Tribolium castaneum: one gene and its partner. The protein of the gene in region 2 interacts with the protein of the main gene of each other region in a pairwise test. Links are inferred from orthologs where the notes say so. Each region holds a gene or a part of one and is shown on either strand. Other genes may lie near its edges.

What was found. The genes of interacting proteins can lie anywhere in the genome.
Region 1: the proteins of yellow-g (region 2) and uncharacterized protein LOC103312874 interact in a two-hybrid assay, tested with the Drosophila melanogaster proteins (2 studies listed by BioGRID). The link is inferred for Tribolium castaneum from reciprocal best matches to the Drosophila melanogaster genes yellow-g and CG8813.

Annotation. Positions count from the first base shown.
Region 1 is NC_087402.1:9,800,953-9,804,768, reverse strand, and holds uncharacterized protein LOC103312874, read right to left. Parts: upstream 2,422-3,816; 5' UTR 2,297-2,421; intron 2,250-2,296; 5' UTR 2,123-2,249; intron 2,075-2,122; 5' UTR 1,948-2,074; intron 1,903-1,947; 5' UTR 1,741-1,902; intron 1,686-1,740; 5' UTR 1,517-1,685; coding exon 1,443-1,516; intron 1,400-1,442; coding exon 1,053-1,399; intron 1,008-1,052; coding exon 789-1,007; intron 744-788; coding exon 613-743; 3' UTR 515-612; downstream 1-514. Other genes in the region: uncharacterized protein LOC103312842, read right to left, coding at 329-408.
Region 2 is NC_087399.1:8,621,091-8,624,147, forward strand, and holds yellow-g (yellow-g precursor), read right to left. Parts: upstream 1,670-3,057; 5' UTR 1,652-1,669; coding exon 533-1,651; 3' UTR 507-532; downstream 1-506.

The sequences.
Region 1 (3,816 bases), on a different chromosome or scaffold from region 2:
TATTAAACCATGTTTCTCTGTTTAGTTTGCTAATTGGATTTTCACCATTTTTATCATTAAAGTTTGTAAACTGAGACTTCACTGCTGATTTTTTATCAAAGTAACTGAAAATTTTTGGATTTGACCAAATTGATCAGAAATACCAAGTATTTCTATTCTCCCAAAGGTATTGACGAAATTACTTAACATATTGTGTTGCAATTTTCTTAAGTGGTTCACAAATCTGTTTCGAGAAGCCCAACATATTGAACAAATTCACAACTGCTAGTGAATTGACCTTTTGTTCTTCATTGAAGATACTCAACTGGCATAATAGTCACAAACTTACTTGGCCACCGAAGGCACGAAACTGGGCCATTTGTAGTCTTTCCGGTAGTTGGTCAAGAAAGTTTCCTTGTCCACGGTCATTTCGTATCACTGCAAATTTGGTTTCTTGGCCTTACTATTGTTTCTGATACACAAGCATGCTAAAAGACGACAATTTGGGACGGAGGAGACCGAACAAGTACTTTACAAATAAATAACACACGAAATTTTGTGACAATCTTGTCAAAATCGTAACGAAATCCATTTTCCGAGTGGCAGGGCAAATAAAAATTGTTTGGACGACGGCTAGATTATTTTTTTGGGGAGAGAGAAGTGGATTTTGTCACGCATTATCATCTGGCCGAGACGGGATATGGCGTCTTGGTACTCCGTCGCGCCGGCTGTCATTGAACCCAGAGGCCCTCGACAGCTTCCAGCTGATTCAAATTCATTATTTTGGGAAAATCAATCGAAATAAGTACCGCAGTAGGAGCTCATGGCGTTGTCGTCCCCGCCTCTTGACCGGCCTTCGCTCTTACCGCCCCCAACCCGGTTACTGATAACCGCAGGACGGTAGGCGATGGACCTCTGGTTGGGCCTGCAAGGGTCGCCAGGAAGTCGCACAGGGGCAGGACATGGGGCGATTCCAGACACTCCAGCCGCTCGCAACAGCTCGTCGTAAGGAGCGTCAGGATACTCCTCTAAAATAACTTATTTTTTGCGCCAAAACTCGGAAAAATAATTACGTAATTTGCAATAATCGACTTGGTAGGTGGTCCTTAGCCGATCGCGATTGATACGCGAGATCAGATCATCAGGTGGTGCATTCCTCAAACACTCGTAAATGTAGGGGAACTTGTCTTTCAGTTTTTGCAAGTAGACGTTAGGTTGGTTGAAGCGACTGACTTGTGATTCGGGGCTTGCGCCCACTTTCACAGGGTACACTTTGGGGTCTAGAAGGGGGCCCATGGGGCCTAGACGACTCCATGCGGCTTCGGATTGGTCGAGCCCGACTTGTTTAGTTTTGTCGATTTTTGGACAGTGGCACTCGCACGTGAGGTGGTCGCCGGCTTCAGGTAACGCAGGAGTTGTCCTAAATCATGGAATAATTTTTTTTCACGGAAAAATTGCGTTACTTTAGTCCGTAAGCGCGCACGTAAGGCCATATGTAGTCCTTTCTGTATGTGGTTTGAAATTGATCGAGAACCATTGCGAATTTTGAACGAAAAATTTTATTGAACTGAAATTTTGACACAATTTTGACAATCAGGTTTCGGGGGGAGGTTTGCGTCCTTGGATGCTTTTTTCTAAAATAAATTCGCCAAATGTGCCAATGTGGTCCGTGTATTCGCTGATGTAGTGACTGCAGGCGAGGTTTCCTAAAGTCGAGGAATGTTACCATCATCACAAATTTGTATTTTTTCACCAAATTACCATGCGTGTGTAAAGTATTTGACGGTATGATAATGAGCGGAGGTCTCAAAGCCTTTGTCTGATCTCTGAAATAAATTCCATAAGTTGTTAACGGTATTTCCGCATCATCTGCCAAAGTGAATTTTCTGTTGCGTTTATCCAAGTTGAATTGAGTATCTTTTTCTAAAAAAAGCAGTCAGTTTTGTCTTCAGTGAGCGTTTCTCGCACCAATGTCACAATAGCTCATCTGGTATTCGGTAACGGCCCCTTTTGTGACTTTATTTTTCCTTATGGCATCTTTATCTAACGGTTCTTGAAAGTGAATCCTTGCAATCTCTTTGTATTTTTGTTTGAACTAGAATTTTGTTATTGTCAATAAAATAATTGGAAGATTGAAAGGAACTTTTTCCAAGTATTCGTCGCCGTTTTCGTTCGGTGGTTTTAGATCTGTTTTATCCAAAATTAAAAACTCCTTAAATCCTTCACTGATGGGGTCCTCAAACTCTTGATTTTTTGCCTCCGCCCGTAGACTTGAACAAAATTATAAAAAGCGAGAAGACTACAGGTGGGATAATACTGTTTTATCGGCTTTTTCACATAATCCTTCCTGTATGTCGTCAAAAAAGTATATTTATTAATTTGATCTGAATCCATTTCACATTCTCAAGTATGACAGCGAAATTTTGAAATTTGCTAGTTACTTTCGTCTTGTCCGTTGTTGCCAACATAGTGAATTTTTCCCATTTTTTGACGATTAATTAAAGAACTTTTAGACCCATTTAAAATTATTTAAAAACTTGGTTACTTGGTTTAATATCATGTAAAGGCTTTATAAAGAATATTATTCCAAACATTTTGTAGATAAATTTATAATGAAAGCAGAATACTGCTGTGAGAGGAAATAATGCTGTCTTAGGTTAGTCAACTTTGTTTTTGAAATCATAAGTTTTGTATACAGAAACACTGCTAAAGAATAAAAATTCTAGATATAACTAGAATTGAGTATAAAAAAGAGTAGAGTAAAATCTAGAACAATAGTTTAAAAAATATTTTTTCTACTTTGTAGGCCATCACTACATCACAATATGCGTTTTGTATCGTAATAATATAGTATAATATGATCCTAGTTTTATAAGGTATTTTGACTAAGACCGTCATGATTTAGCCAGAACAGGTTTAGGTTTTTACAGTTGTGCCCTGTTTTATGTTCGTGTCCAGATTTGTCTTATTTTTTATAACCCAAATGTCCTGCTCTAAGATTTTTAAGTTACTACAAAAACACCTATAATCCACCTATAATTAGGATTTCTGATTTATCGACTTTTTTTTCTCGAATAAAAATTCCAAAAAAATTTCGAATTTTCGAAAAATTTCTAAAACCTAAAAAAACATGTTAATTAAATGAAAAAAACCTTTCATTTTCCGTCGATTTCTCGACAGTTTTTTGGTTTATAAAATAATAAAACCTATACCTATAGTCCACATAATATTTCCACAAAAAAATCTAGAGAAGACTTTATAAACCAATGTAAAGAATGTAGGTATAATTGTATATTCAAAATATACTTAACATAATCCAAAAAGAAGTGAATCAACGAAAAAGATTATTTTGAAGAATTTAGAAGAAGTGTTAGTAAAATTCTCTAAAAGAGAATTTGGAGAAAATTTAGAAGTATTTTTTTAATTTTTAGTAGACGTTAAAAATAATTGTAAAAAAGCATCTGGAGAAGAATTTTGGACCATTATACCTCTATTCTTATATGTATGTGCAGTCTGTCTGTTTTAGTAAGGAATAAATTCTCTATTTAGACACAAGGCATTGACACCTGTAGGTACGTATGTCCTGAGGAACCTTAGGCATTCGATAATAACGCGTTCAAAGTGTAGAAGTGAAAAAACATAAAAATTTTAACGAAATTTTTAGATAAAAAAACTATAAATAAACATAATTTGTCGCAGTTGAGATGAGCTGCCGCCAATTTTTTCACTAAAACTTTGACTTAGGAAGCATTAAGAAAGGCAGTTTAAAAAACAAGGTTTATTTATTGACTGCTTTCAGATTTAAACCAACCATTCACATTACTCCATTAAATTATT
Region 2 (3,057 bases):
AGTTTAAAAATGACGTAGACTATTTCAAGCAAATCTACTTTTTTGAAAATGTCTATTCAAACCTTTGGATAACATAACATTTTACGAATGTTTGAAAAATTAACAAAATATAAAAAGAATGGCATTTTTTATGACCCTGTGTGCGTACCTAAAAGTAGTAAAACTTTACCAAAACTTAATTAACGTCGAAAAACTTTAAACAATCTTATTAATTTTCATGTCATCAGTGATTATTATAACTCGATTGTTCTTGCCACTCTTGGATACTTGGATTCCGTTTCAGTGTTATTGGCAAATAACTACTCCGAACACGGAGATCAAGCAAAAATAAAAAAAATAAAACAAAATTTCAAAAGCAAATCCGAACTAAAAAATTTGGGAAAATTTTGGGAGAAATTGAAGGATTTTGCAGCAACGGTAATATCGTACGTGCATACGCACTTCCGTTGCCTCGAGCTCGGAAAGTAAAAATAAAACTCAATTTAATCATTCAACGATTTAATAACCAATCACAGCAAATTTTTCAACAACTTCAATCGCACGTTTTGATAAGCGGGTGCACAGCCATGCTCGCCCCCAAACAGCCCACAGTATTGCAAATATAATCATGGAAATTGCTCTCAATAGCCCACATAAGCCTCTTATACCCTGGCACCACCTGAGTCGACAACCGACATTCCCCACCCTTTTGCACCAAGAGGAAATTCTCCGGCTTGAAGGCAGTATCCGTGTTCCAAATGTAAATATCCGACTCTCCCTTGTACCTGAAGAAGATCGCGGCGCCGTTATCAGTCCCCAAAAGCACGATCCTGGTGCCGGGAGGCTTCGCCCCAACGTCGACAATCGCCCCATTAGCCTGCCCGCTCTGCAAGTAGCAAACCTTGATACTGAAAAGTCTGGGCGAGGACAAGTAGGTGAAGTAGAGCACGTTCCCGCAGGATTTCCGGGCGAGGGCAATGTAGAGCACGTCTTTGTTACCACCGGCACTTGCCGCAGCCGGTAACACCACCCTGTAGCCCTTCCCGCCGAAAACATCGTAAACCAGGATACCGCCAGCACCAGCATCGCTAGCGTAAACCCAAGCCTTGCCGTCCTTGGAGTAGTCAACAATCATGTACTGGAAGCGACTTTGTGGGGTCATGAAGGGCGAAAGGTCCACGGTTTTGATCACTTGGCCGGTGGCAGCGTTGATCCCGACGATCTTGGGAGGGCATCTCCTCACCGGTTGCTCCAAAGTGTTGCAAATGCCCAAATCCAGAGCCCAGAGGATGTCCAGGGGGTCCAGGAAGATGTCCACCACGTTCTGCAAGGCGTCACAGTTACCCTCCTCCTGGATGGCCCAGCATGGGAAGGGCTGGAGGGTCGCATGGCACCCACGCTGCTTCAGGTTGAACTTAGCAAGGGTGAAAGGGACGCCGTGCTTGAACCGAGGAAGGGCCACAATTGCGTCTTCTTTGAAGATCTGCATTCGGGTCCCGATCACGTTCTTCGGGACGTAACGTCCGGTCTGGAGATAGATGTTCTTGGTGGCCTCGCATGGGAACGCCAAGTTGGTGCCACTGAGCTTGTAGCTCAAGTCCGGGATCAGGTTCTTGTTGCAGTCGCAGTGGACCTCGGCAAAAACCGCCAAAAGCACCAGAATTTGCCACATTTCTTACTTGGACTTGTTGTTGGACGAGAAGATGAGTGAATAACGTCTGAAGCGGCTCCCGTGCTTTATACCCGAGTGTTTGTTTTGGTTTTGGTCATGTCGGTGTGTTTGTTTAGTTCGGCCATGATTGCAAAATTGTTGATTCAGGTTTGAGTCAACGACCTCACCTGTGGCACGTCTGGCTTGACCTCAGGTTGGATAAAAGCCGCCAAAAGTTAAGGCCCTCCATCATTCGCTCCAATCAATCAATCGATCAAGCATGCTTCGACAAGTCGCCATTTTGTGCACTCTAATCGCCGCCATTTCGGCAAGTTGCGACAAGGAGATCGTACGTCCTGTCGAATGGACCGGCGGCAACTTCGAGTGGCCGAACGGCGCCACCAAGTCCATCTACCGCTCTTCGGGCCGCTTCATCCAGAAGAACACCATTGCGACCCGCGCCCAGATCTACAAAGACGACGTCATCGTGGCCCTGCCCCGCTACAAGCCCGGAGTTCCCGCCACTTTGGCCAAACTCTCCCTGAAGCACAAAGGCTGCGAGGCGACTCTGACGCCCTTCCCATGCTGGTCCACCCAGGAGGAGGGCAACTGCAACGCGCTCCAATCAGTCGTTGACATTTTCGCCGACGCCAATGAGGTCCTCTGGGTGTTGGACGTGGGTGTGGTCAACACTCTCGAGACGCCAATCAGGCGCTGTCCCCCTAAAGTCGTCGCGATCTCTCTGCGAACCGGAAAGGTCGTCAAGACGCTGGACTTGTCGGGATTGGTGGCCCAGGCCTCCCGCTTGCAATACATCGCCGTGGAATACGCCCCCGATGGACGCCCCTATGCTTACGTCAGCGACGCGGCGACTAGATCCATTCTAGTGTTTGATGTTGCTGGAAACAGGGGCTACAGGGTGGTGCTCCCGAAGGCTGTGGTCGGGAATGGCAAACGCGACGTTCTCTACATTGCCCTGATCCAGAAAGGGTGTGGGAACAACTTCATCATCTTCTCCTACCTCTCATCACCTAAAGTTTTCTCAATCCGGACTGATTATCTCAGAGCTGGATGCACAGCGGGTAAAATCACGGACAGTGGGTCTAAAGACGGCAAAATCATTATCTTGGGTACTGATCTTGGTACCGCTGTGTTCTTCCGGTACGAAGGCAAACCGGAAGTGTACCGCTGGGACGCCAACCTCCCCCTTGCCCCAGGTCTCCCGGTCCTAGTCTACAAATCGAAAAAATGTTACTTGTCCACGCACGCAATCCCTGATCTCAAACGCGAAAGGATGAGGATCCTTGAGAGCAATTTCCCTGATTTTATCCAAAATACGGTAGGCTGTGGGGCGTCACAAAGGGTGACTCTGATGGGAGGGTGTGTTAACCCCAAGAACCCATTGCCCGTGCATACGTAAACGGTTT